Linked DNA regions of Caenorhabditis elegans. The protein of the gene in region 3 purifies or fractionates together with the protein of the main gene of each other region. This does not show direct contact. Each region holds a gene or a part of one and is shown on either strand. Other genes may lie near its edges.

Region 1 (9,770 bases), on a different chromosome or scaffold from region 3:
AGATTGAATTTCAATTTTATTTCGAAGTAAGTCTCTTGATTGTTTCGAAAATCCGATGACAGTTTTCATTACTTTTTTGTCTGTTGATTTTGTAGGGAAACATTGAAATTTTTCTGATCTTTCTTTGATCTTATGATTTTTCATTTATTCCAATTAAAAAAAATTAGCGCATTCAGAACCAGAGTGAAGCTTGAGATGTTGTAGGTTTATCAAAAGATCAAAATCTCGAATTCCTTCGAAATGTTTTTAGTTTTCGACTTCCGTGTGATTTCTAGCGATCCTGACAGAGATCACTGAATTTTAATGTTATCGAGATTGTTGTGTAGGCTCCATCTCCTCTCTGAAGCTTCTGATTTTGCCGAAAGTCTAGTTACTTGCCGACTGCTGACACTAGGATATCCCACTACCGTACCCATTGTTGGATCCGTACTCTGCTGCGACTTCTTCTCTGTTTCACGTGAACCTCCGGGATCGTCGGTAAGCCCCGCCCGTTATCTGTGCCAACTTGTCTTCGTGCCCTCGAGCGACGAGCTCATTCAATCACGCCACGACCTCCGTCTGGACAGATGCTCTCATTGTCTCTGCGTCTCCAAGTATTCGTCACACTATCTCATGCATTCTATTCAAAACGCGAGAGAAAGCGCGGGAACGAGAGAGAGTTCAGACAGATCGAACTTGTTTTTATCCCCCCCCCCCTCGTCCGGCTGCAGAGCAAAAAAATACTGCTTTTCCTTGCAAAATTCGGTGCTTTCTTCAAAGAGAAACTTTTGAAGTCGGCGCGAGCATTTCCTTCTTTGACTTCTCTCTTTCCGCCAAAAAGCCTAGCATTTTTATTGATAATTTGATTACACACACTCAGAGTTCTTCGACATGATAAAGTGTTTCATTGGCACTCGCCCTAACAGTACATGACAAGGGCGGATTATTATCGATCGATATTGAAGACAAACTCCAAATGTGTGCTCATTTTGGAGCCCCGTGTGGGGCAGCTGCTCTCAATATATTACTAGGGAGACGAGGAGGGGGACCTTATCGAACGTCGCATGAGCCATTCTTTCTTCTTTATGCACTCTCTTCACTCTCTCACACATTAATCGATTCATAGACTCCCATATTCCTTGATGAAGGTGTGGGTTTTTAGCTTTTTTTCCCGATTTGTAAAAGGAAGAGGCTGACGATGTTAGGAAAAAGAGAACGGAGCCGAAAAAACATCCGTAGTAAGTCTTCCTTTTAAGCCGACACTTTTTAGACAGCATTCGCCGCTAGTTTTGAAGTTTAAATTTTAAAAAATAAAAATTAGTTTCAATTTTTTTTAATTACTAAATAGGCAAAAGTTTTTTCAAGAACTCTAGAAAAACTAGCTTAATTCATGGGTACTAGAAAAATTCTTGTTTTAAATTTAATATTTATCTTAAGATGTAATTACGAGAAGCTTTTTTGAAAATTCTCAATTAAAAGAATTTGCCGATTTAGAATAAAAGTCTTCAGAAATGAGTAAAAGCTCAAATTAGAAGTTTGTTTTTAAAGGAAAAACACGAAAAAAGAACACTATTTATCTTTTCCTCCCCGCGTAAAATTAGTTGTTGTGATAATAGTGATCCGCTGTCTATTTGCACTCGGCTCTTCACACCGTGCTTCCTCTCACTTGACCCAACAGGAAAAAAAAACATCACGTCTGAGACGGTGAATTGCCTTATCAAGAGCGTCGTCTCTTTCACCCAGTAACAAAAAAAATTTGGTTTCTTTACTTTATATTTATGTAGGTCACAAAAAAAAAGTGATGCAGTTTTGTGGGTCGGTTGTCTCCACACCACCTCCGCCTCCAGCAGCACACAATCATCTTCGTGTGTTCTCGACGATTCCTTGTATGCCGCGGTCGTGAATGCACCACATTCGACGCGCAACTACACACCACACTCACTTTCGGTGGTATTACTACACGTCATCGTTGTTCGTAGTCTCCCGCTCTTTCGTCCCCACTCACTCCTCATTATTCCCCTTGGTGTATTGATTTTTTTTAAATGGTACACCACTCCTGACGTTTCTACCTTCTTGTTTTCCGTCCATTTAGATTTTATCTGGAAATTTTTTTAAAATTTTAGGCCAGAGAGTTCTAGTTCTTGTTCTAAAAGTCTAGGTCAGACATACATTTTCTATTTCTCATCAAAAAAAAAGTTGATAAAGAAAACTGGTTATTCAGAAAGAGTGTGTCTCGTTGAAATTGATTCAAAAAAAAATTCCCACCCCTCGCTTGTTTCTCAAAATATGAGATCAACGGATTTTTTCCTTCTCGATTCAATTTTTTGCTGCGCTCTGTCTGCCAAAGTGTGTGTGTCCGAGCAAAAGATGAGAGAATTTACAAACAGAAATGAAAAAAAGTTGGCCAAATAATGAAGTTTTATCCGAGATTGATGGGAAAGATATTAATGTTCTTTACGGTTTGGAGGGGAGAGAGAGATAGATTTTCGCATCAAACTCCGCCTTTTACATGTCTTTTAGAATCTAAAATAGATTTTTCTCATCATTTTTAATAGAAAATCGAGAAATTACAGTAATTTCGCAATTTTCTTGCCAAAAATACACGAAATTTGTGGGTCTCGCCACGATCTCGGTCTTAGTGGTTCATTTGGTTTAAAAGTTTATAAAATTTCAAATTCTAGTGTTTAATTTCCGCATAATTGGACCTAAAATGGGTTTTTGTCATCATTTTCAACAAGAAATCGTGAAAATCCTGTTGTTTCGCAATTTTCTTTTCAAAAATACACGAAATATATGGTAATTTCCCGAAATATTGAGGGTCTCGCCACGATTTCAGTCACAGTGGCCAGGATTTATCACGAAAAAAGTTCGCCTAGTCTCACATTTCCGGAAAACCGAATCTAAATTAGTTTTTTGTCATCATTTTGAACAAAAAATCGAGACATCCCTATAGTTTCGCAATTTTCGTCGCTTTTCTCTCCAAAAATGACAGTCTAGAATTAAAATTCGCTGGAACTGGGACCATGATATCTTTTCTCCCCGTTTTTCATTTTATTTTTTATTACACTGGATTGACTAAAGGTCACCACCACCGCCAGTGTGTGCCATATCACACACACACACACACACAATGTCGAGATTTTATGTGTTATCCCTGCTTGATTTCGTTCCGTTGTCTCTCTCTCTCTATTCATCTTTTGAGCCGAGAAGCTCCAGAGAATGGAGCACACAGGATCCCGGCGCGCGATGTCGTCGGGAGATGGCGCCGCCTGGGAAGCCGCCGAGAGATATCAGGGAAGATCGTCTGATTTCTCCTCGGATGCCACCTCATCTCTCGAGTTTCTCCGCCTGTTACTCCCTGCCGAACCTGATATTTCCCGTTGTCGTAAAGAGATGTTTTTATTTTACTTTACACCGGGTCCTCTCTCTCTGCCAGCACAGCTCAGTGTTGGCTGTGTGCTCGGGCTCCTGCCACCGGCGGCCTCATCTTCTTCTTCTTCTTCTCTCCTGCTCTCGCTTATCACTTCTTCATTCATTCTTATTCCTTTTCATCATCAAACTAGCATTTCTTACTTTATTTATTTTTTTCAATTTTCAATTTTCAGATAAAACCAAACTACTTGGGTTACAGCCGTCAACATGGAGGACGCGCATGCCAAAGACGCCAATGAGGTACTTTTATAGTTTTTAAATTTTAGTTTTTAATACAATTTATTTTCCAGGTGTGCAAATTCTTCGGAACGGGTCCGGAGGGATTGACTCCACAGCAAGTTGAAACATTGAGGAACAAATATGGAGAAAATGGTTGGTTTTTTACATGGATTTCTCATTAAAAATTGAATTTTTTCCAGAAATGCCCGCCGAAGAGGGAAAATCACTGTGGGAGCTGATTCTCGAGCAATTCGACGATCTTCTCGTCAAGATTCTCCTCCTCGCCGCCATCATCTCGTTTGTGCTCGCCCTTTTCGAAGAGCACGAAGATCAGACAGAAGCAGTGACGGCGTTCGTCGAACCGTTCGTCATCCTTCTCATTCTTATTGCCAACGCGACCGTCGGAGTGTGGCAGGTAGGAACAACACAGACAGGCGCACGCGCTGAAAGAAAATAAGAAGAAGAAGAAAAAGCACAGTTGTTTTCTGTGTTTTTGTAGATCAAAAGAAAGGAACTAGGAGTGATTGCACAGAGAGAGAGAGAGAGAAATAATGTCTTTTTGACTTGTTTTTGTTGGTGAGAGAGATAGGGAAAAAGAGTCCCTAAAGAAAAAATAGTGTAACGGGCGGTCCGGAAGAAATGCTCTTTGCGCCGAAAAGTTTTTGAAAAAAGAAGAAAATGATGAAGGAAAGGCGTGCGTCATGAGCTTCGCATTTACGTACGCAAAAAGTGAGGGATATGTGAAAAAGATATTGGGTGATAGAATAGTTGATGGATTGGGCTGCACTATTTGCCTCAATTTGCCACAAATTTCCATCTAATTTGTCATAATTTTCCAGGAACGAAATGCTGAATCGGCCATCGAAGCGCTCAAGGAATACGAACCAGAAATGGCCAAGGTCATCCGATCCGGACACCACGGAATTCAGATGGTTCGCGCTAAGGAACTCGTGCCAGGAGATCTTGTCGAAGTTTCAGGTTAGCAAAAACTTTTTTTTTTAACTTTCAAATTTTAAACCATATATTTTTCAGTCGGAGACAAGATCCCAGCCGATCTCCGTCTTGTGAAGATCTACTCCACCACCATCCGTATCGATCAGTCCATCCTCACCGGAGAATCTGTGTCTGTTATCAAGCACACCGACTCTGTGCCAGATCCACGCGCTGTTAACCAGGACAAGAAGAATTGTCTGTTCTCGGGAACCAATGTCGCATCTGGAAAGGCTCGTGGAATCGTCTTCGGAACCGGATTGACCACTGAAATCGGAAAGATCCGTACCGAAATGGCTGAGACCGAGAATGAGAAGACACCACTTCAACAGAAGTTGGACGAATTCGGAGAGCAACTTTCCAAGGTTATCTCTGTTATTTGCGTTGCTGTTTGGGCTATCAACATTGGACATTTCAACGATCCAGCTCACGGTGGATCATGGGTTAAGGGAGCAATCTACTACTTCAAAATCGCCGTTGCTCTTGCCGTCGCTGCTATTCCAGAAGGACTTCCAGCTGTCATCACCACGTGCCTTGCCCTCGGAACTCGCCGTATGGCCAAGAAGAACGCTATTGTAAGATCCCTTCCATCCGTCGAAACTCTTGGATGCACATCTGTTATCTGCTCTGACAAGACTGGAACTCTCACCACCAACCAGATGTCTGTGTCAAAGATGTTCATCGCTGGACAAGCTTCTGGAGACAACATCAACTTCACCGAGTTCGCCATCTCCGGATCCACCTACGAGCCAGTCGGAAAGGTTTCCACCAATGGACGTGAAATCAACCCAGCTGCTGGAGAATTCGAATCACTCACCGAGTTGGCCATGATCTGCGCTATGTGCAATGATTCATCTGTTGATTACAATGAGACCAAGAAGATCTACGAGAAAGTCGGAGAAGCCACTGAAACTGCTCTTATCGTTCTTGCTGAGAAGATGAATGTTTTCGGAACCTCGAAAGCCGGACTTTCACCAAAGGAGCTCGGAGGAGTTTGCAACCGTGTCATCCAACAAAAATGGAAGAAGGAGTTCACACTCGAGTTCTCCCGTGATCGTAAATCCATGTCCGCCTACTGCTTCCCAGCTTCCGGAGGATCTGGAGCCAAGATGTTCGTGAAGGGAGCCCCAGAAGGAGTTCTCGGAAGATGCACCCACGTCAGAGTTAACGGACAAAAGGTTCCACTCACCTCTGCCATGACTCAGAAGATTGTTGACCAATGCGTGCAATACGGAACCGGAAGAGATACCCTTCGTTGTCTTGCCCTCGGAACCATCGATACCCCAGTCAGCGTTAGCAACATGAACCTCGAAGACTCTACCCAATTCGTCAAATACGAACAAGACATCACATTTGTCGGAGTCGTCGGAATGCTTGACCCCCCAAGAACTGAAGTTTCGGACTCGATCAAGGCTTGTAACCACGCTGGAATCCGTGTCATCATGATCACCGGAGACAACAAGAACACCGCTGAGGCTATCGGAAGAAGAATCGGACTCTTCGGAGAGAACGAGGATACCACTGGAAAAGCTTACACTGGACGTGAATTTGACGATCTTCCACCAGAGCAACAATCTGAAGCCTGCCGCAGAGCTAAGCTTTTCGCCCGTGTCGAGCCATCTCACAAGTCCAAGATTGTCGATATCCTTCAATCCCAGGGAGAGATTACTGCTATGACCGGAGACGGAGTCAACGACGCTCCAGCTTTGAAGAAGGCCGAAATCGGAATTTCTATGGGATCAGGAACTGCTGTCGCCAAGTCTGCATCTGAAATGGTTCTTGCTGACGATAACTTCGCATCCATTGTGTCTGCTGTCGAAGAAGGACGTGCTATTTACAACAACATGAAACAATTCATCAGATATCTCATCTCATCTAACGTCGGAGAAGTCGTCTCCATCTTCATGGTCGCCGCACTCGGAATTCCAGAGGCTCTCATTCCAGTTCAACTTCTCTGGGTTAACTTGGTCACTGACGGTCTTCCAGCCACTGCTCTCGGATTCAATCCACCAGATCTTGACATTATGGACAGACATCCACGTTCAGCCAACGATGGACTCATCTCTGGATGGCTCTTCTTCAGATATCTTGCTGTCGGAAGTACGTTTAAAAAATTCCCCTAAAAAAGTATAATTCTAAAATTGAAATTTTCCAGCCTACGTCGGAGTTGCCACCGTCGGAGCCTCAATGTGGTGGTTCTTGTTGTACGAGGAGGGACCACAGATCACCTACTACCAGCTCACTCACTGGATGAGATGTGAAATCGAGCCAGACAACTTTGCCGATCTTGACTGCGCCGTATTCGAGGACAATCACCCGAACGCCATGGCTCTGTCCGTGCTTGTCACCATTGAGATGCTCAACGCCATCAACTCACTTTCCGAGAATCAATCGCTTTTAGTGATGCCACCATGGAAGAACATCTGGCTGATGGCCGCCATTTCCCTTTCGATGTCTCTTCACTTTGTCATTCTCTACGTTGACATCATGGCCACCATCTTCCAGGTATCACAATTAATCATATATTAATCGAAACATCTAATTCAAATCTTCAGATCACCCCTCTCAACTGGGTCGAATGGATCGCCGTGTTGAAGATCTCACTGCCAGTGCTCCTTCTCGATGAAATTCTCAAGTTCATCGCCAGAAACTACATCGACGGTAAGCCGGAGACGGTCGGCGCGAAGGCACGTAGTGCCATCTCGCTGCTCGCCTGGGTGTCTGTGACGCTCGCCTACTTTGCGTGGATGTTGGGCCCGTACGCCGAGCTCATTAACCATGCGCTCGTCGGTCCATCTGTCGATCCGTCGAAATTCGACGCGGTTGTCACGCCCGACAAGTTACATAACGAATTGTGATTGAAGTTCTTCTAACCCCCAAACCAACCGCCTCTCAAACAACTTGTGATGATTTCTCTTTATTTTCTCTCTCTTTCTTGTTCTAATCATTTTGGGCCTTTTTCCCTTTTTCTCTCTGCAGTGTGTTAACTGATCCATAATCCTTCGTGTAAACCCCCCTCTCCCTACTTTTAGGATTTCTTCCTCGTTGCTCATTGTATTTTGTCCAAATCGCCACAATTTCCCTACAAATATATATGTTTTTTTTGCTAATTTTTTGTGTTTCCCTTCCTTCTTGTCCACTGAAAGTTCTACGTCTCTCGCTCTCCACATCCCCATTGTTCTCCCCTTTTTTCATAATAATTTATTATTATCCTTTTTTTAAATTAATTTTTGTTGCGTGTGAATCTATTAGGAGCTCACAAATAAAAGTGATCCTTTAAAAAACCTTACTTCCTTCTGTTTTTTCTCTAACCTAACCAATGTGTCTGTTCAGGGAGTGCCTCTTTTCTTTACCGAATGGTGTGCAATTTTGTCGACTGTCGATCTCGTCCATGGCAATGCAGGATTTGAAACTAAATTTCCCTGGAAAAAGAAATAATTTTGGTGATTTTCAGTTGAAGCTCCAATCAAGGATAAACGCGACTAAAAATGACAGTGCTCCCTCAATCAGAGTGAGCCCAGCCGCCGCCCATCTCATTTTTCAGACTCTTTCATATTTTCTAAGTTTTCCAATTTTTTTTCTTTTGTAGTGCGATCGTTTTCGTTTCGAGACCCGAAATCGAAAGGATCTCTTTTAGAGATCTTTAGGATCTTTTTTCTTTGCTCAACTCATCATTCTTTGTTTTTTCTTCTATATCCTCTTGTTGACGGTGATCAGACAAATTTGTTAGAAATATTATTACATTTCCTTTAGGTTTCTTCTATTAAAAAAAAAGAAAACTTCTGCTAAATTCGTGTACGTTGTCTCTCCCATTTCTCATTAAAAATCGATATTAATTGTAATTTTTGGTTTGTCCTCCAGTGTCGTGTGCGCCATCGATGGAAATAAAAAAGTTTCAAAACTATTATAGCTTTTCTTTTTATGAAAAATATAAAATACAATTAGAATGTTTTTGTTAAATGCGATACGGTGTGCGCCTTTAAAGAGTAGAGTACTGTAGTTCCAAAATTTTGTTGGTGCGGGATTTTCATTGATTTTTCATCGTTTTTCGACAAAAATATATTTATTTATTGAAAAAAGTTAAATAAAACTATTAAAAACACAGAATTTTTAACAAATTGTGAAAAACACATGAAAAATCGATGACAATTCTACAGTAACGAACATTTTGAATTACAGTAATCTTTAAAGGCGCGCACACGTTTGCATTTAATTAAAATGTGTCGTGTCGAGACCGACTACCACGTCTCGTTATTATAGAACGAGCAATTACAGCCTAACATCAACTCAGAACAAACCAGGATCCCACGCAAGTTTAAAGGAGCATGCTGGGTATCACAACGATTTTTTGAAGAGAACGAGGCCCCACGAAACGGGGAGCAGAACGAAAAGGGGATCTGCAAAAAGGGGATCTGCAAAAAGGGGATCTGCGAAAAGGGGAGATATGAAAAGGGGAGATACGAAAAGGGGAGCTGGCACTGTGCCAAACGCACAAAACGCAATTTTTCTCACGCAACGCACGTTGATTTTTGAAATTTTCTTCTAGAAGATACGCTTAACAACACGCGACGCGTAACATCGGAGCATCGTTGTATTGTTTTCTTCGAGAAAAATAGCGTTTGGCACAGTGCCAGATCTCCTTTTCGTATCTCCCCTTTTTCGTATCTCCCCTTTTCGTATCTCCCCTTTTCGCAGATCTCCTTTTTGCAGATCCCCTTTTCGTTCTGCTCCCCTTTTCGTGGGGCCTCAAGAGAACGACTTAATTGTGCATGAATTCCGGAACAGCCACCTTCAAATTGAACACTGATTAAACGAATAAAATGGTTCATTTAAAACGGAACCGAGAAAAAATGGGGACCCGTAAAATATTCACAACGAGAGGGGAAAAAGATGGAAGGGGAGGGTCAAATAATTTTCACATACCCTAAATGAAATAAATACGGTAAAATATTGGAGGAATGCGATAAAAATAAATAGAAAATGGTGAATAATGAGGGGGGCGGGGAGTAATAATCATGGTACATGAAGTGGGTAGCATATCGTCGCGGGAATCAGCAATCAGACGTTTTCCACGGCGACACGGGTGTTCGAGACTATCTGCGCAAGTTGATCAAGCTTGGCGAGGCATTCGGCTTTCTGGGCAGCACTCG
Region 2 (8,008 bases), on a different chromosome or scaffold from region 3:
TGCCGATCCGTGAGATATCTAGGTTCTGCCTAGATATTTCTAAGCCTGCTATGTAGCTACCAATGCCTATCTGTCCGCCTACAAGGTCGCCTATGCCTACATTTTGCCTACATGCATGCCTTCGGCCAAAATGCAAGTGAATTGGCGTTTAGTTCCGTTTTGAACTTGAGATAAATCGATCACAAAAGAAATTACAAATATTGTTTTAAAAAAACATAAAATAGGCGGTAGGCAGGCACCTAGGCGAGCAAGAAGTACCTATCCACTATTTCTGTTTTTTTTTGAAATTTCGAATAAAATCTGTGGAGTGGAAGGTATGAGCTAAAAAATAGGCAGGCAGGGATAAGGAAGGCACATAGTTGGGAAGGTTTAAAGTAGGCATATATTACCTACCTGCCTACGCACCTACTTTGCCTGCAGCCTAACGGCAGGTAGGTCTGAGGTAGGCACATAGGCAGGCAGGTAACTGATAAGCCTACAAGCATGATAAATACTTAACAACTCACCTAAAAGGTACCTTAATAACTCACCTAAAACATCCGTTGCAGTTAACCGAGCACTCTGACAATCCTGAGCACTTGTGGAAGCAATCAAAAAGAGCAGGGAAAGCGCAATTTCTTGCGCGGAACCCATTCAATTTGCTCTCCTATTCGTCAAAATTCCTGAAATTATATTTTTCACTTTTTCTCTCTTTTTCTAGAATTCTTATTTTCTGAAAAAAGGGGGCGGGTGGATTTAATCACTATGGTAACATGCACATAGACAGCCAAGAAATGTGATTATTTCTGGGGAAAAAAGAGAGAAAAGAGCAAGGAACACGAGGAAATTGTAAACATTAAATTCCAGCTAATCACGTTGCAAAAATGTCTGAAAAACATCACGCACGCCGCTAATTTTGCGCGTAGGATATGGTGCATTGAATACGGTGGCTGAGAAAGGGAAAACTGACAAACTGCACAGACAACTATATAGTTTGGTAGGCATTGGTAGGCATACCTTCACACCTGCCTACATGCCTGCCTGCGCCTATTTTAGTGCGATTTTGGAGTGATCTCGAAGGTTGTTGGTCAGTATTAATTTGCAAACATCAGCAAGTGTAGGTTTTGTAGGCAGGCGTAGGTAATGTTGGTAGGGGTTATAGGCAGGCACAAAGTAGGTCTAGGTCTTTTAAGCAGGCAAAACACAGGCGTAGGTATTGCAGGCAGGGACAAGACAAGCCTAGGTATTGTAGACAGGCACAAGACATACCTAAGTCTTTTAGGCAGGTACAAGGCAAGCGTAGGTCTGATAGGCAAGCAAAATTCAGTCGTAGGTATTGTAGGTAGGCCTGCTTTTCAAAAAAAAGTGTACTTAGAAAAAAATCGGGAGGCCAAAAAGTGTCGATACGTGTGTGTGTGTTCAAAAAGAGATCGGATCAAGAGGGGATTTCATAGATTCTATTTTTCAAAATTTGGATAGTCTTTGACCGAACAAAAGAGGGAATATAGTGAGACGTAATCGAAAGTGTTAGAACTTTTTTTTAACCTGTGGGATGATTGTCTAGTTTTTTGATGTACTCTCTCTCCTCTTTCTCACTCGCTCTCTGTGTGGTCATTGTTGTCTTAAATTTTGGCGCATAGTTTTTGGGCAAAAAAAGCAGGGAGACAGGCATTTGTGGATAGGCATGAGTTACCATAATATTGCCCAGATGTAAATTTTTGCGGTTTTGCAGTCTCAGAGCTCCCAATTTCATAAATTCAAAAAAGTGTGTACCTTTAAAGAGTACTGTAGTTCACAATTTCTCGTGACCTCTGGATTTTCAGATTTTTTCTAGTTGGTCTCCCGTTTCCTAAAAATGTTTACATATTACGGGAACACAAAATTCTGAGAATGCGTATTGCACAACAGATTTTACGCGAAAAATATCTCGAAGCGAAAACTACAGTAATTCTCTAAATGACTACTGTAGCGTTTGGGTCGATTTATCGGCTCGATTTTTGAAATTATTTTTTTCCATTAGTAGCAGTAATAATCCATCATCATCTTTTACTCTCTTACTCTCTTACTATCATCTCTTACTATCATCTTTTACTTCAAAAAATTTCAAAAATCGAGCCGATAAATCGACCCAAACGCTACAGTAGTCATTTAAAGAATTACTGTAGTTTTCGCTACGAGATATTTTGCGCGTCAAATATGTTGCGCAATATGCATTCTCAGCATTTTGTATTCCCGTAATACTAATGAAAAATATTTTCACATATCTTTCGATTTTTTTTACAGTACTCCTTAAAGGCGCGCTGTCTTTTGCAATGTAAAAAATTCGGTCGCTTCGAGACCTATTACCGTATTTCTGAAATTTTTCTCTGTTCAGAACGTTCAGTGACAACTAAAACCAATTTTTCCTCTGAAAATACAGAAAAAATTTGTGAAATTCTGTAAAAATGGGGGAATAAATATTTTTAAAACATGATGATCCCGTGAACGTGACCCTGAACTCCCGAAAATATCCACGTGGCTAATCCAACTCCCACATATGAACTTTAAAATCAAAAAATTTATTTCGCCGAAAGATGAGCCAAATGCAAAAATTGGGCTCGAAGAGCAAAGGTCAGAATCCGAATAAAGGGGATGAGGTGGAGATGCTTCGTGCCGGATTCAAGAACAAGCATGGAGAAGCTGTCAAATCGCAGGGACAAACCATGAATATTGAACTCTAGTAGGGGTTTTCCCCCTAGCTTCGGTGCGAATTTGAGAATAAATATTTTTACTTAAGTAAAAAGTATATACTTGAATATTTATTTAAATTTTTAATTAAATAAATGAGACCCCACAATTTGAGAATGCCTGAAACGAACCTGTGACTTTTCCAGAAAAAATCATTGTGAATTTCAATTAAAAAGTTTGAATATTGTTGGCTCAAATGAGTTACTATTATATTACTAATATTTCGCTGTTCAAAATACACTTTTCAGCTTTGAAAGTTATCTATTCCCTCACATTTCTAATTCCCACGTTTCTCCGTCTCCTTTCCATCGAGAGTTCTCAGTCCGCAATTTGTCGTCACGGTGTACATTTGCAGAAACACTTTCACTTGTTTGCAAGTGTTTTTTTGTTGTTCTCTCGGCGTCTCTGCTAATTTTTTCGGTTTTAACCAGTTTTAATGTTCCGAATTTAATAATTTTTGATTAAAAATCAAGGTTTCCAAGTTTTCAGGGTATTCCGATGGTCGATTCACACGGTTTGCAGTCGCCAGACGTCGTTGTGGAGAAATAGTGAGTTGGGCCAGGACGAATATCGATTTATTTATCGTTTTCCTGTATGGAAATTCAAAAATTCAAATGATTTACAGCACTATATCGAGAGAAAAGTCGTCGATTGGCTTCGAAATCGGCAATAATGTGACCGTTCAGTTGAACGCGCCATCGGACGTTGACAACGGGCGAGAACGGGATTCGTCGAATGCGCACACAAAAGTTATTATGGATCACAAGGGAGATGTAAGAGAATTAAAGAATTAAGAATCGTCAATGGGAAAATTGTTTAAAAATATAGTATTTGTACTCAAACTTCCAATTATTGCAAAAGAAAAACGGGAAAAATCCGCTAACATTCAGCAGTTTAAGTCAGAAAAATCGTCGAAAATGTAAATTTAAAGGGAGAGTAGAGTTTCTGGGTATTTTGCTCAAATAGACTAAAACTGGTCCAAAACCAACGAATTTCATAATGAGACTTCACAAAAACTTTCCAAAAATTTTTTATGGCCGGTCAAAATTTCAAAAAAAAGAGCCAAATTTTGCTAAAATCTGAAATTTCGCACACTTTTCTTTGTCACAGCCGCTGGATTTGAGTTTTTCTGAAATTATCACCCTTTAATCCTTATTTTAGTAATTTATCTCGCGGAAATTCGTTGATTGAGACAACTTTTTGGCCGATAGGATTCCAAAAATGATCAAAATTGGATGCCTATCGGCCTAAAAGTTGTCCCAATCAACGAATTTCCGCGAGATAAATAACCAAAATAAGGATTAAAGGCTGATAATTTCAGAAAAACTAAAATCCAGCGGCTGTGACAAAGAAAAGTGTGCGAAATTTCAGATTTTAGCAAAATTTGGCTCTTTTTTTTCGAAATTTTGACAATTTTTTTTTTGACAAAATTTTTGCCACGAGGATCAATCGAATCTTTCTAAGAAAGAAAACAAATTAAAGTTCGAAATAAATACATTTAAATCAATATTTCGTTGAACGAAAATGGCCTAGAAATCGTGTAGTGGCCTAGGTTTCAAATGCGCGCGAAATTCAAATTCAGCCACTTTCGTCGATTTCAACGGTTAAATGCTGAATATTAACGGATTTTTCCCGTTTTTCTTTCGCAATAATTGGAAGTTTGAATACAAATACTACATTTTAAAACAATTTCCCACATTGACGATACTCCTTTTTTAAAGTAAATTTAAAAAAAAAACACAGAATTTAAATACATTTTTTTATTTCAGATTCAATATCTACGCGGGAGAATTTTGACGTCAAACGGACCAATCGTCGGATTCCGCTCAATTCACGAGTCTGTCGGTGAATCCATGAACCTTATCAATTTGCAAACAAAGCAAAGGCACCGTTTTAAGGTTTAAAAGCCAAATTTTGATTTTTTAATTTAAAAATTGCTTCAGGACTTCCCATTCCGTACAATCGACCTTGCCTTCGCCCAACATCACAAATACCTCGCCGTGCTCAACGCCGACCTCTCACTTGTAGTATTTGAGGTGTCTGACAGATGCGATCCGTTAGTTATTCTACAAAATTGGAAAAAAAAATCCAGAAAAATCGAATTTCAATTATTTTCAGAAAGAAATACCTGTCGATCGTGAATTGGCCGTCATATCAATCACAGGGAAACGAGGATCAACCGAAACTCTCGTGGTGTCCGTATATTCAGGGTGAAGATGAGGATGATGAGACTATTCATATGATTGCTGTCTACTTGGTCAGTGTCGAGGCGAAATTTCGAGAAAATTGAGGAAAAAATTCAAATTTTCGAGAAAAATAGATACAAAATTTAGCCGATTTTGCACCAGTACCCGGTCTCGAAGCGATATATTTCTATGAAAAAGTGCCTTTACGGAGTACAATTGCCGTTTGCCAAATTTTTTTGTCGACAAATTCGGCAAGTTGCCGATTTGCCGGAAATTTCTATCCCGGCAGTTTGCCGGTTTGCCGATTTGCAGGAAATTTTCAATTCCGGCAAGTTGTCGATTTGCCGATTTGCGGGAAAATTTAAATTCAGGCGGTTTGCCGAAATTTTTAATTCCGACAATTTACCGATTTGCCGGAAATTTTTCAATTCCGGCGATTTGCCGAAAAAATCGTTTGCCGCCCGCCCCTGCTGTAGTCGAACCAATGGCGTCGTCGAAAAATTTTCGATTTTTTCGGTTTCCCGCTTAGAAAGAGAGGCGGGACGTATTTTTGCAACCCTGCGGCACGGTTTTTTCTTCTTCTTTTTTTGCCCGTTTTCCATAAATTTTCGGTTTTACTCGTTATATTCTCTTTTTTCGAATGAAAATGCTATTCTTATAAAATTTAGAGGATATTTCATGTTAAATTGGTTTAAAAAACATGAACTATCCTAGAAATTTTATGAGATTCAAATTGAATATTCATTTAAAAAAGGAAAATGACACAATTAAAATCGAAACTTTATTGGAAAAAATCATTGAAAATAGTGGGAAACGGGCGAAAAAAGTGGAAAAACCATGCGGCAAGCTTGCGAAGTTACGCTCCGCCTCTTTTTCTGTGTGGCGCTGCTTTTTGCAAATTTTTGCATAAAACAAAAAGTTAAAAACTACAGTACTCCTTAAAGGCGCACGTTTTGATTTAAATTTTTTAGAAATCTGTCGCTTCGAGACCTTCCACCGTATTTTACGGCGAAAATCTCATAATTCTGCTGATAAAATAGTGAAATTATTTTCTTGAAATAATTTCAATTTTTTGTATTTTCTTGATTTTTTCTTACTTTTTTAAGAGAAAAACACCGCATTTTCAATTAAAAAACAGCTGATTTTGTTGAATTTTTCAAAAAGAAAAAAATCTCAATTTGTTTCCAGGGTCGCCAGCTGTACATTGTGAATCTAGGAGTTTTGAAAGAAGCGGGTCTAGGAGACACTATCGAATTTGAGGATGCAAAGAAAGAGGACGGTGGACTATTCTGTCACTATTTCTCTGATCAACCGGATAAAAAGAATCTGAGAATTGCTTCAGTCTGTATATCTCCTGATTCTACAGCTGTTGCAATCGCCAAGACCGAGGGTCCCGTACAATTTTTCACTTTTAACGAAGAGAATAATACACTTACCGCTGCTCATTGTTTCGAGCCACGTGGATTCGCTAGGAATGGATTGATCGATGATCTGATCTTCCTTGACGATTTGACACCGGATCGTCGGAAGTCACTTCCATTCTGGAGATCATGTGTTGTTGTATCAAATGATGGACATAAAGTTGCTCTATACGAATGTCAGAGTTGGAAGTGTCTCGGAAGAATTCGCTTCGAGACCACTAGAGCTATCAATAAATTTGTTAGCATTTCGGATCCGGCAGCGAATTTTGTGCATTTGCTCGATGTGGATGGCATGGTGAGCTTGGTCTATTTAATGGACCAGAAAAACCGAATTTTATAAGAAAACTTTGAAATTTTCATCAAAAAGTGTATTAGGACGGTTCAAATTTTGAAAAACGGACTAAAACCTTCAATTTTGCCGAAAATTGATTTTTTTTTTTGAATATTACACTATTTTGCTTATTTTAGTGATTTATATCAGGGTGTGGCGGAAATTGTCGTTCGGCAAATTTTTTTGTCAACAAATTCGGCAAATTTGCCGTTTTGCCGAACATCAATTTGTCCGTTTGCCGGTAATCATCATTTCCGGCAATTTATCGATTTGTAGATTTGCCGTTTGCCGAACTAAAATTGAAATTCTGAAATTTCCAAAAAAAAATGTGCGAAACCAAAATTTTCGGCAAATCGGCAATTTTCCGAGTTGCCGGAGATGTTCAATTCCGGCAATTTTGCGGGTTTTTTCTGGAAATTCTCAATTCCGGCAACATGCCGATTTTCCGGAAATTCTCAATTCGGACAACTTGCCGATTTTCCGGAATTTTCAGTTCTGGCACTTTGCCGGAATTTTGAATTCCGTCAATTTGCCGATTAAAAAAAAAACGAAATAATCGTCAAAAATCCTATTAAAATCAATTTCCGAAAGCTACGACGAGGAAAAGTTGGGAAAATTGAAGATTTTAGCTAAAATTAAACCTTTTTTGAGAAATTTTCCTATTTCACGTTTTGAAATTCGGTTTTTGGGCCATTTTGATACTAATACAGCAAAAAATTAAATTATTGTTCCGTGTATAGCAGGGGCGAGCGGCAATTGCCGGTTTGCCGATTTGCCGGAAATTGTCAATTCCGGCAATTTGCGGTGTTTGCCGGGAAAATTGTTGGTAAAAACTATAGGGCTTAGGCTTCAAAATTAACCAAAAATTCCCATTTTTTCAGAACGTCTTCACAATTGAAATCCGAAATCCATTCCGTACAGACGAGCAGCCACGTTTCGTTGGAATTACGCAGACCTCATTTTGCCATTCGATTTTCTCGATTGCCCCGATTTCGTCGAACACTTTTGAAAATGGTAGCGTGATTGAGCTCCCAGATGCGAAAAAAACCGAAATTTTTTGATTTTTTGTTAAGAAAAATCGGAAAACCTGAATTTCACAAAAATCAAGTTTTCATGATCTAGTCGGAAACAAGATCTACGAAAAGAAGATCTACATTTTCAGGATATGGCACCGTGCCAACTTTCGCAGTTTTCTCCAAGAAATTCGAAACAACGATGCTCCGATATTACGCATCGCGCCTTGTTTAGCGTTTTCCAGAATTTTTTCTTTCAAAAAAAGGCTTTTCTGAACGCTACACAACGCTCGATGCGTAATATCAGAGCATCGTTGTTTCGATTTTCTTCAAGAAAACTGGGAAAGTTGG
Region 3 (8,283 bases):
AATAAAAAAAATTTAGTTTGACTCCGACTTTTTAAAAATTCGAAAAATTGAACATTTTTCGAATTACGATTTTTCGAACTCCAAAAATACGTAAAATCGAAATTTTTTTTTTTTGATTTTTCAAAATTCAAAAAAAAGAAAAATTTTGGTGTTTTTTTTTCGAATTTTCTGAACACTTTTATATTAATTTTTTGAGACAATCAAAAAGTTCTGGTTTTTCTCTGGAAAAATCTAAAAATTTTCGCTTTTCGTTTTTTTTTTTAAATAAAAAGTCGAACAATTTTGGATTTTCTGGAAAATATAAAAATCACAATTTGTTTTTTTCTGACAAAAATCGGAAAATTGTAAAATCTTAAAATGTTCGATTCCTCTAAATTCGAATGTTATTCATTTTAACATTTTTTTTAATTCATAAAACTTAAAAATATCGTTTTTTTTTTCAATTTTCACCGAATAAAAGATAAATTTATTAGCTTTTAGAATTTTTTTTTAGAATAAAAAAATTTCGTTTTTTTCGATTTTCACCAAAAAAAACTCAAAAATTTCTCAACGTTTTCAAAATTCGTAAAACTAAATATCAACCTTCTCCGTTCCCCGTTCGATATATTTCAAAATTCGACGCGCCTGTGTGTAGCTCTCATGTATCACAACAAATCGAATCTTCTCCCTTTCCAGGCCCTCGAGCCAGCTTCCAACCCAATCTCGTCGCCGTTGACTTCTCAAAAGCTTCTCCGTTCGGATTAAGCTGTACGCCTGATCCTCGCTCGTCCTCCACCACTGAAGTGCGTACCGTGCAAAGTACGACAATCGAGCCTTGTGAGCAACGAAGCGCCAAGCAAAGTAGAGCTTCACGTTGCGAATTCGAGAATTCACTTTTTGCCGATGCTCGTGTAGATAGAGCTTCTTCTTTTTCCGACGATGCTTGAGATCCGAGAATCTCGCAAAATAGCGTACAGATCTATGCGAAATGATCTGTGTCATCGACTTTTCGTGATTCTCCTGAATCCTGGCATTCGAGGTCCGATACACCTTTTCTAGCCGCTTCAGCTCCATAATTCTTGCTTTTTCCCGCCGCTTTTTCTCCCGATTCTCCTCTTTCAACCGAAGCTTCTCTTCTCGTTCCTCCTCTTTCAGCCGTTGTTTTTCTCGCTTCATTGCCTGTTTTTCGAGTTTTCGCTGCAGAGTTTTCGAGAGAGCTGCTGCTGATGATGCTCCATTGATGACTGGATTTTCGGAATCTGTGGTAGCCAGATCCTCCTGATCCTCTTCGTCAGATGTAACTGCTGATGAAGCTTCATCCTTCCGTTTCCGTCGGCTTCTCGCTCGTTCTCGTTCCTCACTGGAATCCGCCGACGATTCTTCGCTCTGTGTGTCCTCTATCGCTTTTTTTAGCACTCCTATTGCTGAAATTGCGGCGGCTCGCCGTCGTTCTCGTGGTTGTTGCTGTTCTTCTGTGTCATCATCATCGTCGTCGGCGTCTTCTTCATTTTCACCATCTTCCTGATCTTCTTCGTCGTTCTCATCGTCGTCGTTGTGAAGAAGAACGGCGCCGCCACGACTTCCAGACGCTTCGGAAATAGCATTTCGGCTGAAATTTTTGGTTTGAAAATATCAAAGAATCGGAAATTTTTAGTTTTTCAATTTTTTTTTCAGTTTTTCATTTTTTCCCCCGATTTTTCGACTTTTCGTTAAAGGAGGACTAACGGTTAGAACGATTTTGAACGTATAGACCCAAAATGAGGTCAAATGAACGAATTTCGTAATGAAACTGCTCAAAAAATTTCCAAAAATGTTTTATGGCGGTTCAAAATTTTGAAAAAAATTACACTGATTTTTGAAAAAATCCAGAATTTTTCCCATTTTTCCGTGTCACATCTGTCCGAAGTTGACTTTTTTCAAATTATCGTACTTTATTGCATATATTGGTATTTAATCTCATTTAATTTCGTCGATTAAGGTACATTTAAAGCCGATAGGTAGCCAATTTCGATGATTTTTGGTTACCTATCGGCTTCAAATGTACTTTAATCGGCGAAATTAAATGAGATTAAATACCAATATATGCAATAAAGTACGATAATTCCAAAAAAAGCTAACTTCGGACGGATGTGACACGGAAAAATGGGAAAAATTCTGGATTTTAGCTAAAATTAGTGTAATTTTTTTCAAAATTTTGAACCGCCATTAAAAATTTTTGAAAAATTTTTGAGCAGTTTCATTACGAAATTCGTTCATTTGAGCTCATTTTGGGTCTATACGTTCAAAATCGTCCGAACCGTTAGTCCTCCTTTAAAACATTTTTTTAGAGTGGAATTCTGCGTTTTCCAAAGAAAAAAAATGTATATTTTTGAAAATCGAAAATTTATAAATTTTTTCTTTTTTCCCGATTTTTTCAACAAAAAAATCGAATTTTCAATAATTTCTGGTTATTTTCCAATTTAAAAAAATGATTTTCGTTTTTTAACGATTTTCCGAGAAAATTGCAAACTTTCGATTTTCAGATGCAATTTTTGAAAAATTTCAGTCAAAATCGTTATTTTTATCGAAAATTCTTGATTTTTGTGGATAATTATATGTGATACTTTCGCTCGGAAAAATCCAAAAAATATAGATTTTGAACCAATTTTTCCAGATTTTCAAAAAAACTTCCGCACATTTTCTGAGCTCCACGTTTTGCGGCGCCACGTATTACGGGCGTTGAGAAGGATTCCGGATTTGTTAGCGGCATTGAGTCGAGATTTCCATCGGCTGCAAAGTGTTTTCCACCTTTTAGGACCAGCTGAGTGCGTCGGAGCTCTTTTTCGTCGCCATCGTTGAAAACTGGAAGAAATATTGATTTTTTTTGGGCAATTTTTCGGTTTTTTCGCATAGAAAAATCGATTTTTCAGTGATTTTCAGGATTTTTTACGAAAAATTAATTTTTTCCGGCATAAAATCAAGGTTAGAATGATTTTAGCATCAAAAATCGATTTTCTCGACTAAAAATTGACTTCCAAGGCAATTTTTCGGTCCTTTTCTTGATTTTTGGTATGAAATTAAAATTGGTTCGGCTAAAAAATAATTTTTCTCACTGAAATTTTCTTATGGACAGCTTTTTTTTGGTTTGTACTAAAAAAATGATTTTTTTTTGCAAAAAAATGAATTTTATAGATCATTTTTCAGTTTTTCTATCATAAAAACCGATTTTTAGTGTGATCTTTCGGTTTTTTGCGACAAAACCGTAATTTTTTGGCAAAAAAATGAGTTTTTCTTCGACTTTGGAATTGAAAATCACGTTTTTTGGCTGAAAAATGATTTAAATGGGATTTTTTTGGGTTTCTACCTTAAAAAACTTTTTGTGGGAAAAATAAGTTTTTTGGACGTTTTTCGCCACTTTTGATCGAAAAATTGATTTTTTGGTGGTTTTTGCAATTTTTTTTCACTAAAAAATTGATTTTCACGATTTTTCGACACGTTTTCAGCCATACTGACCGACGTGGTACTTGCTCTGATCCTTGATCGATTGAATTTGACATCGGATGAATTTTCGCTGAAATACGACGTCTGTAAGCTCATTTATCTCGAATTTTGCGTTCGGTAGATCATTGTCCTGCACAATCATCTGTCCAAATGGGGATTCTTTGAGCGAAACCTGAAAATTTGAAATTTTTGGGGAAAAATCTCGATTTTAGACGGATTTTCTATGTAAAATTGTATGAAAATCACGAATATAACAGAAGCATGACGAATATTCGTCGAAAAAATCGATTTTTTGCGGGATTTTCAGGAGAATTACCAGCTAAAATCATTTAAAACCGTCATATTGCGGAAATTATACGAAAAAAAAAACGATTTTCAGTGGATTGGATTTTTAAAGGAAAATGTCTAACTAAAACCCGTTTATATGCGGAAATTTGGTTTAAAAAAATATTTTTAAGCGAATTTTCAGGAGAACTTCCAATTAATTCGAAAAAATCAATTCTCAGCGGATTTTCATGCAGATTTCCAACGAAAAATGACGAAAATTCCTCGAAAATATCAATTGGTGGAATCTTGAATTTCAGGTGAAAATTATGATTTTTATCTTATTTATGTTTGTTTCCTGGGTTTTTTTCACGTTTTCGAGGGTTTTTATCAGATTTATAAGCATTTTTCACTAGCAAGCGAGAAAATTATCGCAAAAATCGGTTTTAAGTGGAAAATCTGCTGTATATCGACTTTTAAGAGGATTCTGTGACTTTTCTTGCTCAAAAACTGTTCTTCCAAAATTTCCGGGGTTTTTTATCGGATTTATCAGCGATTTTTCACCCCGGAGCGAGAAAAATGCGGATTTCTGCATTTTTCTGAGCAATTTTCAGTTTAATTTCGTAGATTTTCGATTTCCTGCTTCTTTCTTCGCGATTTTTCTTCAATTTTCATCGATTTCCGTTGCTCACCTTCACTTTAAGACTCCGATCGACTTTCTGAATTTTCGCCTCGCAGTAAGCGCCTTTAAACTTGGCGCTCACCTCTGTTCCGAGCGCTAAAAACGCCGGATCGTCAGACTGAAATTAATTAAATGATTTTAAAATGAAATTTCTCCGAAATCTATTGAAAAACCCACCATTATTATTATAAGTAGCCACTACTTTTCAAAAATTCGCCGAATTTTGCTAGTTTGAGATGAAAAATATATTTATTGTCCAAAATTCCGAAAATCCTCGGCGAGTCCAGCTCAATTCATGGATTTATGGATTTTTTATCTGAAAAATTTGTGAATTTAATGTGGAAAATTGAAAAAAGCCGGGAAAATTATAATTTCAGGCGGAAAAACTCGAGGAATTTGATTTTTTCAATGAAATCTAGCGAAAATTATTAAAAACTACGATTATTTAACCAAAATAAGACATTTATTATTAAAAATGATTGAATTTTGAAAATTTGGAACATTGAAAGCCGAAGCAACAAAAAAAAATTTGTGAAAAGCGCGCGCGAATGACTGCGGTGACTCTTGTCTTCTCTGCGTCTCTTACCGCTACAGCGTGGGGCGAGTGTGTCTCTCTCGTCGATGAGAGAGTGTAGAGAAGCAGACATTCACTGTTTTTCGAAAATCGCGCGCGCATGAATTTTAGTATTTTAGCGCAGAAAAAATTGGGAAATTCCGGAATTTGAATACAAAAAAATTGGTTTTTCGAGTTTTTACAGTGAAAATTTAAATTTTAAATGTAAAAATACGATTGAAAACCTCTAAAAAGTGTTCCGACTGATTTTTTGCGATTTTCAGCAGGTTTCAAAGACAAATTCTAATTTTTGATAAATAAATATGAATTTTAGAAAGAAATACAAATAAAAATATTTAAAATGTATTGAAAATTGTATGGAAAAGCTCGGAACAATTTTTTTCTGAAAACACATCTTTTAAAACATAAAATAAATAGTAATTTGAGTTTAATTTCATTTATTTTTCGATTTTCAACAGATTTTCCAAGTAAAACTTTAATTTTTGATGTAAAAATGATTGTTTTTTAAGTAAAAATACGATTAAAAAACCTTTTTTGCGGAAATTTTCAATTTTCGCGCTAAAAATGTGGGCCCCGGTCTCGGCACGACATTTTTTTTTTGTAAAATCCAAAAGTGTGTGCGCCTTTAGAGAGTACAGTAATTTCAATTTTTGGATTTAAAAATAATAAATTTCAGCAAATAAGTGAGAAAAACTCTGGAAAATCAATGAAAATTTCAAAAATTGCAACCACAGTACAAAAAAAAATATATATATTTTAAAACGAAAATATGTTTTAAAACGCTTTGAAAATTTATAGAAAATAGTGGTGTTACGGTATCTGCAAAATTTATAACGTTTCGAGACACATCAGGTCTCAGCTGAAAACAATCTGGAGGAGGAAGCATTTATATAAATATGACATTTTGTGCTCAATGTTCAGTGGGGGAGGGGTAAAACGATAATGGTAGAGGAGAAAGAAAAAAATGAGATTAAAATCGCAGGAACTTGCCTTCACACACATAAAAAGGGGACCAAGGGTGTCGGTTTTTTTCGATTTTTTCTAAAAATCGAACATTTTTCGTTTTTCAATTCATCCCAAAACTTTTTTGAAATCGATTATTCAATGACACCCTTGGTGGGGACAAAAACTTTCAGGGGTGGATACTATCTGGATAGGGAGCAAATTTGACGAGATGATATAATGAAAATAATAAAATAATTTTGAAATGATTTGGGGGAAATAATGAAAAAAAAAGACCCATCTACATACAAATGTTCAAGGCAACATCAGGTCCAAGAATCGAGTGAGAAAAAAAGAGAGAAGGAATAAATAAATAAATTTAAATGTAAAAATAACCACAGAAATTACGTATTTATGAACAAATCGTTGTTGCTGTGTTTTAAGAGAATATAGCAAAAGTAAATGGAGAGCAGATGAGAGTGAAAATCATTGGAAACCAAACGAAAAAATCGACCCTAGGCAATGTATTGATAGGCACGATGATCGTGCTCATCGCGAGCCAAATATTCTCGCTCGATCAGTGTTTCGATGCGTTGCTTGATGATGATTGGTGACGGCATGAAGCGGTGGCGCAGTTGTTGGGTCACCTGGAAAATTGTTTTAAATTTTTGAAAATTGCAAAAATCTGCAGCGAATTTGGGTTTTTAATTGGCGTTGTTGTTGTTGTGCAACCGAATTTTTTTTTGAAAAACGGGAAGTCAAAAATTCGAAAAAAAAACTTAGGTTTTTCGAAAAATAGCTCGAAATTGAGCCCATTTTTATATTTTTGATTAAAAAAAAACATTTTTTTTCCGACATCCTCGACAATCTAAACACGATATATAAATCAATGTTCCTTTAAGAGTTGTGTAGATTTACGAGTACGTGTACTATGCGTGAATATTCATTTTTTGGCAACATTCACACTTTTTTCTCATTCTATATCGTATTTTTTGTTTCGTACTTCGATTTTAGCTTTAAAAAATATTTGAATATTTAAAATAAAAAATATAATGGAAAAATGCTCACCTCTGCCACCAGATTATTGTGATTCAACTTCTTTCGGGCCTTCATAATACGAACAATCGCCGCCTCCACTTCCAACTTTCGATCATCCTCAACTTTCTGGCGAGTTTCACGAATCTCGGGCTCCGATTCCACTTTTCCTGTCACCATTTGCACTTTGACACGTGTCAGCTTCGATTGGAAGTTGTCGTTGACGGCGAACTCGTCACTCATGTCTGGAAAAATTATAAATTGAAATTATCGATTTTTCTGGGTGCTTTTTTAATAGTTAACGTAAAATATTCCAAAAAACATAAATTTCCGTATGAAACAGTTCAAAAACGTGAAAAAGGCAAATTTTACTAGGGAATGGTGTTACCCCTGCAATCGCTAGGAGGACAAAACAAAGTGAAAATGGAAGATCAGATCTATGGCTACAAGAATCAGTTTTTGGAATCTGCTTAACTCGGTCCCAAAGCTGAAATTTTCGGTCTTAAAAAGTAGTCCTTTTTTTGCTCAAAATGCCGTTTTTCGTGTGTAGAAGTGGCTACATAAAAGTTTGGCACTGCAGCCGCCGTTCGAATGGCCGATTGGTGAACTCTTGTGCTCATTAATCTAAAGGTCACGGGTTCGTTCCCCACTAGGTATTAATTTTTTTTTGAATTTTTCCTCTAGCATGAAATATGCACAAAAACACGGTTTCTTCCGTTTTTTGGTAACTTCGGAATAAATTTTTTGGTTCCTGGGAATCATAAAAGTAATTTGGAAACTTTTTGGAAGTTTTCTTTTTTTGATAAATTTTCACTTTTCTCCCACCTGATGTATGCACATTTTTTTCTTCAAAAATAATTTTTCAAAATTTTTTCAAAAAGTGTTTGGTTTGAAAGAGCAGCATTAGTTTGGATATTTCTACGATTTTGGAGGATCAAATGTCATTTTTAGGAGAAAACCACTGTTGTTTTCTCTAGACTTTTTCACGAAAAGGACCTACTTTCAAAGACTTCCAGCTCCGTTGACGAGTAAAATAAAAAAGAGTTGTCAACTGCAAAGTTATTTTAAAAGTACCAATAAACAAATTGTCAGTTGAAGTTACTCTGCTAAATTTTATGGGTAGAGAGATATGGACATTAGTAATTAAGTAAGTTAAAGCTTCACTTCGATTAGCTATATCTCTCTACCCATAAAATTTAGCAGAGTAACTTCAACTGACAATTTGTTCATTGGTACTTTTGAAATAACTTTGCAGTTGACAACTCTTTTTTATTTTACTCGTCAACGGAGCTGGAAGTCTTTGAAAGTAGGTCCTTTTCGTGAAAAA
Region 4 (6,919 bases), on a different chromosome or scaffold from region 3:
TGCTGTTATTCAATTGTAGAATTTTGCAATATTGACTTAAAAACACCCGTTGTCTCGGCCGACCGAAACTTTGTTTTTTTCTTTTTAGTGCAAAAACTGTATATGTATTGAAGAATTATGGATACAAAATTTCTCGAAATGAGAAAGAGAAATTTCGAAATATTTGTGAGTACTGTAGTTGCAAAGTTTCGGTCGTTTTGAGAACGGGTACCGTACTTTCCCGTCAAATCTCGCAGAAGATCGCAACTGTGAAATATTTGGATTTTTGTCAGATATCACAATTATCAAAGTCATCAGAGACATTCCAGGCTTTCCTTGTTCCCAAATCAATTCTCAAAAACAGCAGCCTACGATTCATTCGACATTAATGATTTGAACACCGTCGATGATAAAATTGCTCGTAAGATTTTTTTTGGAAAGTATTATAATAAAATGGTATTTTGCTTTGAAGGACGTAAAATAATCAGAAATTTAAGAATGCCAACAAATGCAAAAATGAATTCAACAACGAAGTTTTTCGATTTTTCCAGATTTTTCTATTTGAATTTCGTCCAAAATAAGAGGACGCATCCACTTTCAAAACATTCATTCGTTCATAAATGGACGGAGCCATTTTCTGATTGGTTTTGTAGTTCTCATTTTGGAGGATGTTCAAACAGGAGAATCTGCCAAAATTTGAAGAAAAAACGCGTTTTTTAAAGTTGACTATTTCCGGTGAATAAAAACAAAATTCCTTTCCAGCGATTCTACAAGATGAAATGCTCAATTCAAACTCATCAATCATTATTGCTCATTTTCTCGGAGTTGATCACTGTGGACATAAATTTGGACCATCTCATCCAGTCATGGCAGACACTCTGCGAAAAGTTAGAGTTTTTTGGACGTTGACCCATTTCATCTTTCTTTCCAGATGGATCGAATAATTGGTCAAACGATCGAAACAATGAAATCTGATGATCATGGAATGACATCTACAGGAGATCATGGCGGAGAATCTGAAAATGAAATTCGTGCAGGAATCCTTGTACACTCAAAAAAACATCAAATTATTCTTCCTGAACGTCCAATTCATCAAATCGATATTGTTCCAACAATATCTCTTCTAATGGGTCTTCCTATTCCATTTTCCAATTTAGGAACTGTTATCACTCAATTATTTACCAGAGATTTATGGGAAATTGCGGTTGGAATGAATTATGAGCAAGTAAAAAGGTGAAACTTAGTTTTAAGAATTGTAGAGGCAAATGATGGGTTTCGTGTGGCAGGACTCAGTTGGCATGTGCCTTTAAACGTTATTTTCACTCAAAAAAGTTTTTAAAATTCTAGATTCGCGGAAACTTACGCGGCGCAGAAAAATTTCGGCGAACTTCATTCTCATACAATTCGCGATTCAAATACAATGGAAGAACAGCTCGAGTGAGTTTTTTGAACTACAGTACCACCTTGTGGGCGGAGTTTTGATGTAATAAATGTTTTCCAGCACAATGTCACGAATCCAGACACTTCTTCGAGTATCGTGGACTCAATTTGATGATGCTTATATTAATGCTGGAATATTCTCACTCGTTGAAGCTATCATGTTCTTGATTACTAATGAGGTTGGCCTTTCGATTTCTAGAATTTGTGAGACCACGTGTCAAATTGTTCATTGTTTCAGGTGATGTCTTTAGAATGGATAATCTATCGAACGGGATGTGGTCTCCTTCAGGCAGCACTTCTCACTGATAAAACTGATTCCGATGGGAGTGCCAGAACTTTGTTACTGGTAATTTTCTTTCACCCGCCAGTTTTGGTGGAATAGTTTCTAAAATTCCAGATGACTCTCGCGGTCTCGTGTCTCTCCTCTATCATATCAATGTGTCATAAAGCTTTGCAAATTCGGATATCGATAAAATCGATGCTCTCGGCAAAAGTAATAGGTAATTCATTGTTCATCAGAAATATAGTTACATAAAAAAAAAGTTAGCAGGTCCAAAATTGGAAAATAAATAAATAAATAGTAAGATCGAAAGTATTTTTGGCGTATATAATAAGGGAAACTTCATCCAAAGTACTTCATAACCTCTTGAAGTCGTTTACGGGCATCGAGGACACGTTTTTCTTGGGAACTGATTTCTTCGACGATGTGTGCAATTGGAATACGCTGAAAATATGAAAAAAAAAATTTAAAATTGTTTCTGAAAAAAGTCAGAATATTTACTGTTTTGAAATTTCTGGTTTTCTCAAGATATCATTTTTGATTTATTTTTTTCTAATTAAAAAAGGCTTTTCCAGAGCAAGAAAAATATTTTTCGAGATTTTTTAAATGTTTTCAACTGGGCTTACCTCACAAAGTGGCTGATCATGGAGAGCTAATCCGATGAAATTAACATCGAGCTTATCTTTGTTAGCTGCTTGTCCGAATGTTCCATTTGTCATAAATCCATTGTTCATTTGTTGGATTACTGTAGTCATTGCCTCTTCTGGAGTAAATGCAGACACTCCTGGCTTGATCAATGAGATCTTTTTAATTGATTCGTACGAGTATTCTGCCTTTTTAACGTCACCGATCTGGAAATTAATTTATGTTTTACTTGTTTTTATACCAGTTCCACAATTCTTTGTTAGAAAATGTCTTCCAAATTTAATGGTTCGGAATTAGTTTTTTCGTGTTGAGACCCCAAACATTTCAACGAACCCTGTCTGGTTTCTCGTGTGGGATGGATACTTGAAGGCCACTGAGACTCTTTGCCCACATTGCCTGAAATGGTCTCATTTCTGTCTTCCGCCGAGATCGCCGTTTCAATAGCTCGTCGTTTTGCACCTGGAAATACGATTATATTATAGAGGACAAGGATTTTTAAATCAAATTAGTTTATTTGATGGGGAACAAGTTTTTGGGCGATATCTTCAAAATCTTAATACTTTGGGAGAAAGTTTTCTTTAAAAATCCCACCTTAGTCTCTGGCTGTGCTGTGGTAACTTCTGAAACATGCTGGGAGAATGTGGTGGGACACTTTCTGACCACTAAATCCCAATTTCCATCGAATCCAGTTTTGATGTCCTTTTCAACTGGACGAGCCTTTACCGGACGCCCGGGACGACGTTGTCGGAACAGAGCATCTGCTTTTGCCATTTTTCTAGAAAGAATGGTAGAAATGTTTTAGTTGAATTATGAAAAGTGTGCGAAGATTAGAAAAAGAAAACATCGGTTTTTTGAAATATTTGAGCTGGAAAATGAATCAAATAACGGGTCATGCATTTTAAAATTCAATATTTGAATTATCATCAACAGTTTAGAAACAATCGTAGTGAAAAACGTGGTTTCAAATTCAAAAACCTCAAATTTATGAGAAAAAATCAATAAAATGAGCATAATGTTTAATTGCTGGATACGCAAAAAGAGGGAACGCTGGCCAACAGAGGTGTGCGTCGGAGCGCGTTTGTGTTTATACGGTGAACCTAGGGGAGGGCAATGAACACAGAAAGCGAAAAAAGTGAATGAAGTGAGAATTTGCTCGTAAATGGACGTGAGCAAAAATATGAACTAATATGTGTTGAAATATTGTCTTAAAATCGAGTTTTCAGGCCCAATTCTCGTCATAATCCATTCGATTAGTCTTTTTTCGAACAGTTATGTGGTCTACGAAGCTCAAGTTGTTCGATACTTTTTGCAATCACTCGTTACTCTCGTGTTTCTTGAAAAATTGCGGTTAGCAACTGAAATTCAACCGAAACATTACTAAAAATTATTTTTTCAGCTCGACTGCGTTGCGCCCTCGGAAACCGTTTAAGCTAAATTTTCTTTGGAAATTTGTAAATCAAGATCAAAATCTAATAATTTTCACACTAATTATGGTTGGTCTGAGGTCGGAGCCCATTTTTCATAGATGTCGTGAAGAAGAAGTTGGATGTGATACATATTACCCTTCGAGGCAGGCTGGGAGTTTAACCAGTAAGTGAAAATTAACGAGAGTAGTTGAAAAATAAATAATAAGAAAGAATTCCAAAATTTGTCAAAAAATAATAAATAACGCTTGTCCGAGAGTAGTACACGGCTTCCCCAAGTTTCACATCTACCGTAGTCTGGCGAATGGTCTCGCAACGAAAGGGAATTTTTGTTTCGAAATTAATTTTTTCTTGGAGTTTTGTTCTATTGAGAGTCGTATTTTCAAATTACACTAACTAAAATGAGCGTAGTTTCTTGATTTTAAATAGATAATCTTTTAAATACAAAATTCTAAAAATATTTCCTAATTTTTCAGGAGACGCACAAGTTGTCCGACTTCTATTTGCTCTCGGATCTCTTGCTGTCGCCAATCTCTCGGTTTTCAAATATTACGGACTTCGAGATACCAAAAGTCAAATTGAATCAAACTCAAAGAGGAGTTCAGGTTGAGAAAAAGTATTCAGCGAAAAAAATTTTAATTTTCAGAAACAATTCGAATTCTCTCAGCAACATCATGGCTTCACATTGCAATTATTGTACTTCACTCAGTATTCGCATCATTGACACATGATGTCTCCAGAGCCAATTTGTCGGCTCATTCGCTTTCTGTGATTTCTTTAATTTGCGCTGTTCTCGCTTGGAGAGAAGGGTATTTTACGAGAACAATTAAAAGGCTTATCTACTCTCACAAAGGCAACTCTTAAATTTCAGAAATTCTGCGATATGTGCTCATTTTTTATTGATGCCGGTTTATATCTTATTTGGTGACGGGCTGATTCCGGCGATAATTATATTCATAGCAGTTTCAGTATTAATTGCTGAATTTGTGTCAAGAGGTGACAAAAATTGATAAATTGTTTTTCTTGAGAATCCATTATTTCAGAATTCATTGCATCTACAATCGCTTTGCTCATCCCACTAGGATTCTATCATCTTGGACATTCACCAGTTATCTCTTCAATTCCATGGAATGCTGCGTTTGTTGGAATTCCTGGTGGAACAGCTCTTCGTGTCCTCCCTGCACTTTTCGTACTCTTTCATCTCAACTTTTCGGCGATCTCATCGATTTTTGTGATCTCAAGTGAAAGTGAATCTAGTCAGAAAGTGAGAGATTTTACTGAAAAACTGAAAACTCTTTATAATTTCAGATGTCTGCACCCAACACAGCTTGGACGTTAACAGAAACTCTTGTATTGATGACAATACGGGCAACGCTCACTTGTTTGGTCTCTTCAATACATCGGCGTCATCTGATGGTTTGGAAAATATTCGCTCCAAAGTTCATTTTCGAATGCATTCTCACCATCGTCTTCATTTTCTCAGCCAATTTCTTTCTTATTTATCGACAGTTTTTTGGCGAGAAATTCAAGAATAGTGAAGCAAAAATAAATAAATTACATTGATTTTAATTTTATCTCGTTTTTCTTTTTATCACAGACATTTTCTTAAACTTACTGGTGCTCTCTACTTTTTTTACTTGAATTATGATTATTTTCTTGTTAAAAAAATAAATCGCGGCTTTTCAAAGAATAATATTTTATTTTAAACTTGGTCTTCATTTCATAAAGTATTCCAGTCAAATCAGCTACTTATTTGGAAATGTCTATGAGTATTGTGTTGAATTTCGCAACTTTTTTTTTGTTGGATGTTGCTCATTCATTTTCTTTCCTCTTCAGTTTTCCTCATCACTAAGTACCTCGAATTAACATTCTCATTAGGTTTTTCTTTTTTTTTTTCTTTATATATAAATGCTAAATTTAAGTTTATATCATTTCATGAATTATTTCTAAATTTTTATCAATCGTTTCCAAGAAATCGTATTTCATAAAAGGACTGTTTAATTAGTTTAAAAACAATTTTAAAATCATAAAACAAACAAATTTTATTAGTCGTCGAATAAAAGGCATTGTACGCAATTTTGATTGTACGCAAACACCGCGTTGTTTACCGTAACCCACAAAACTTAATTTGAATTTTAAAAATGTTTGTCTGACAATAATGTGTGTACCTTAAATCTTGAATTTTTGGAATTTTAAAAGAAAAAGGTCACATGGCTTTGTACGAGAACATTCGCAAGTGTGCCCCTCTGCGCTCCAAAATTTCTCCCACAAAACACGCTCGTTTCTCTCATTGGGTCTCTCGATTTAACCAACTGTCTCCGGCTGTTCTGTGCCTGTGCTGCGCTTCCTCTCTTTTCATTTTCTACTATTTCTTTCAGTGTTTTTCTTGGATTTTTTCTCTTTCAGTTAGGTGCGCGACTGGCAGAAAATCGATACATCAAATTGATTTTTTTTGATTGAGTGAATAATTGAGAAAAACTTTTAGAATGAGTTCCGACGATGAGATCAATATGGACGACAGTGACTCAAGTCAAGGAGAAATTGACGATGGGGTAAGAATTTTCACGTGACCTCTCAAAATGTGTAAATACGTGGCATTTGAATCGGTAACAGCCTGCTCTTTTTTAAATTATTTCGAAACAAAATGGACAACATCAGCAAATTGTCTGCAATGTCATTGTCGGTAGGAATTATTCAATTTTTAAAAATAAATTTGAAATTTCAAAGACTCGAAATAATGAGAAAGTTTCAAAATTTTGCAGTGTATGTCTGACGATGATGGCATCGTACTGGAGAGCCGCGAACAGAATAGCTCCGACTACAAAGATAACGGGGAACCGGATAATGAGGTTTTAAACCTACGATTTTCATTTAAAATATTCAAAATTTCAGGTGCTAAACCACGATTCCTTGGAAGCAGAGATGAAAAAGACAATAACAGATGTACAAGCAGTTCTTCAAGTGAAAACTGGTGTCTGTCGGATTCTTCTGCACAAGTATAAATGGAATAAGGAATCATTATTAGAACGATTCTACGAACATCCTGACACTACCACATTTCTTATCGATGCTCATGTTATTCCACGTCGCCAGGAGCGTTTGCCGGCTGGAGACGCGGAATGCGACATATGTTGCTCGTTGGGAGAACTCT

What was found.
Region 1: the proteins of arid-1 (region 3) and sca-1 purify together in Caenorhabditis elegans (affinity purification with mass spectrometry, with the first as the bait; one large-scale study listed by BioGRID). This does not show direct contact.
Region 2: the proteins of arid-1 (region 3) and edc-4 purify together in Caenorhabditis elegans (affinity purification with mass spectrometry, with the first as the bait; one large-scale study listed by BioGRID). This does not show direct contact.
Region 4: the proteins of arid-1 (region 3) and mbd-2 purify together in Caenorhabditis elegans (affinity purification with mass spectrometry, with the first as the bait; one large-scale study listed by BioGRID). This does not show direct contact.

What each region holds. Positions count from the first base shown.
Region 1 is NC_003281.10:10,810,659-10,820,428, reverse strand, and holds sca-1 (Calcium-transporting ATPase), read left to right. Parts: upstream 1-3,584; 5' UTR 3,585-3,618; coding exon 3,619-3,651; intron 3,652-3,701; coding exon 3,702-3,783; intron 3,784-3,830; coding exon 3,831-4,045; intron 4,046-4,469; coding exon 4,470-4,608; intron 4,609-4,662; coding exon 4,663-6,720; intron 6,721-6,775; coding exon 6,776-7,125; intron 7,126-7,175; coding exon 7,176-7,478; 3' UTR 7,479-7,897; downstream 7,898-9,770. Other genes in the region: klp-7 (Kinesin-like protein), read right to left, coding at 9,679-9,770.
Region 2 is NC_003279.8:3,345,088-3,353,095, reverse strand, and holds the start of edc-4 (FHA domain-containing protein), read left to right. Parts: upstream 1-3,204; coding exon 3,205-3,254; intron 3,255-3,331; coding exon 3,332-3,479; intron 3,480-4,475; coding exon 4,476-4,604; intron 4,605-4,649; coding exon 4,650-4,762; intron 4,763-4,824; coding exon 4,825-4,963; intron 4,964-6,080; coding exon 6,081-6,608; intron 6,609-7,525; coding exon 7,526-7,658; intron 7,659-8,008. Other genes in the region: W05F2.7 (Hyphal_reg_CWP domain-containing protein), read right to left, coding at 531-633.
Region 3 is NC_003283.11:182,607-190,889, reverse strand, and holds the start of arid-1 (AT-rich interactive domain-containing protein arid-1), read right to left. Parts: upstream 4,724-8,283; 5' UTR 4,586-4,723; coding exon 4,583-4,585; intron 4,524-4,582; coding exon 4,416-4,523; intron 3,632-4,415; coding exon 3,472-3,631; intron 2,821-3,471; coding exon 2,655-2,820; intron 1,589-2,654; coding exon 583-1,588; intron 1-582. Other genes in the region: cul-3 (Cullin-3), read right to left, coding at 6,437-6,568, 6,990-7,201.
Region 4 is NC_003279.8:6,060,288-6,067,206, reverse strand, and holds mbd-2 (Methyl-CpG binding protein 2/3 C-terminal domain-containing protein), read right to left. Parts: upstream 3,120-6,919; 5' UTR 3,116-3,119; coding exon 2,936-3,115; intron 2,804-2,935; coding exon 2,678-2,803; intron 2,551-2,677; coding exon 2,326-2,550; intron 2,144-2,325; coding exon 2,042-2,143; 3' UTR 1,920-2,041; downstream 1-1,919. Other genes in the region: pigo-1 (GPI ethanolamine phosphate transferase 3), read left to right, coding at 309-400, 742-866, 911-1,212, 1,327-1,416, 1,481-1,598, 1,658-1,765, 1,817-1,919, 3,568-3,691 and 6 more; E3 ubiquitin-protein ligase ari-1.1, read left to right, coding at 6,255-6,320, 6,531-6,617, 6,661-6,919.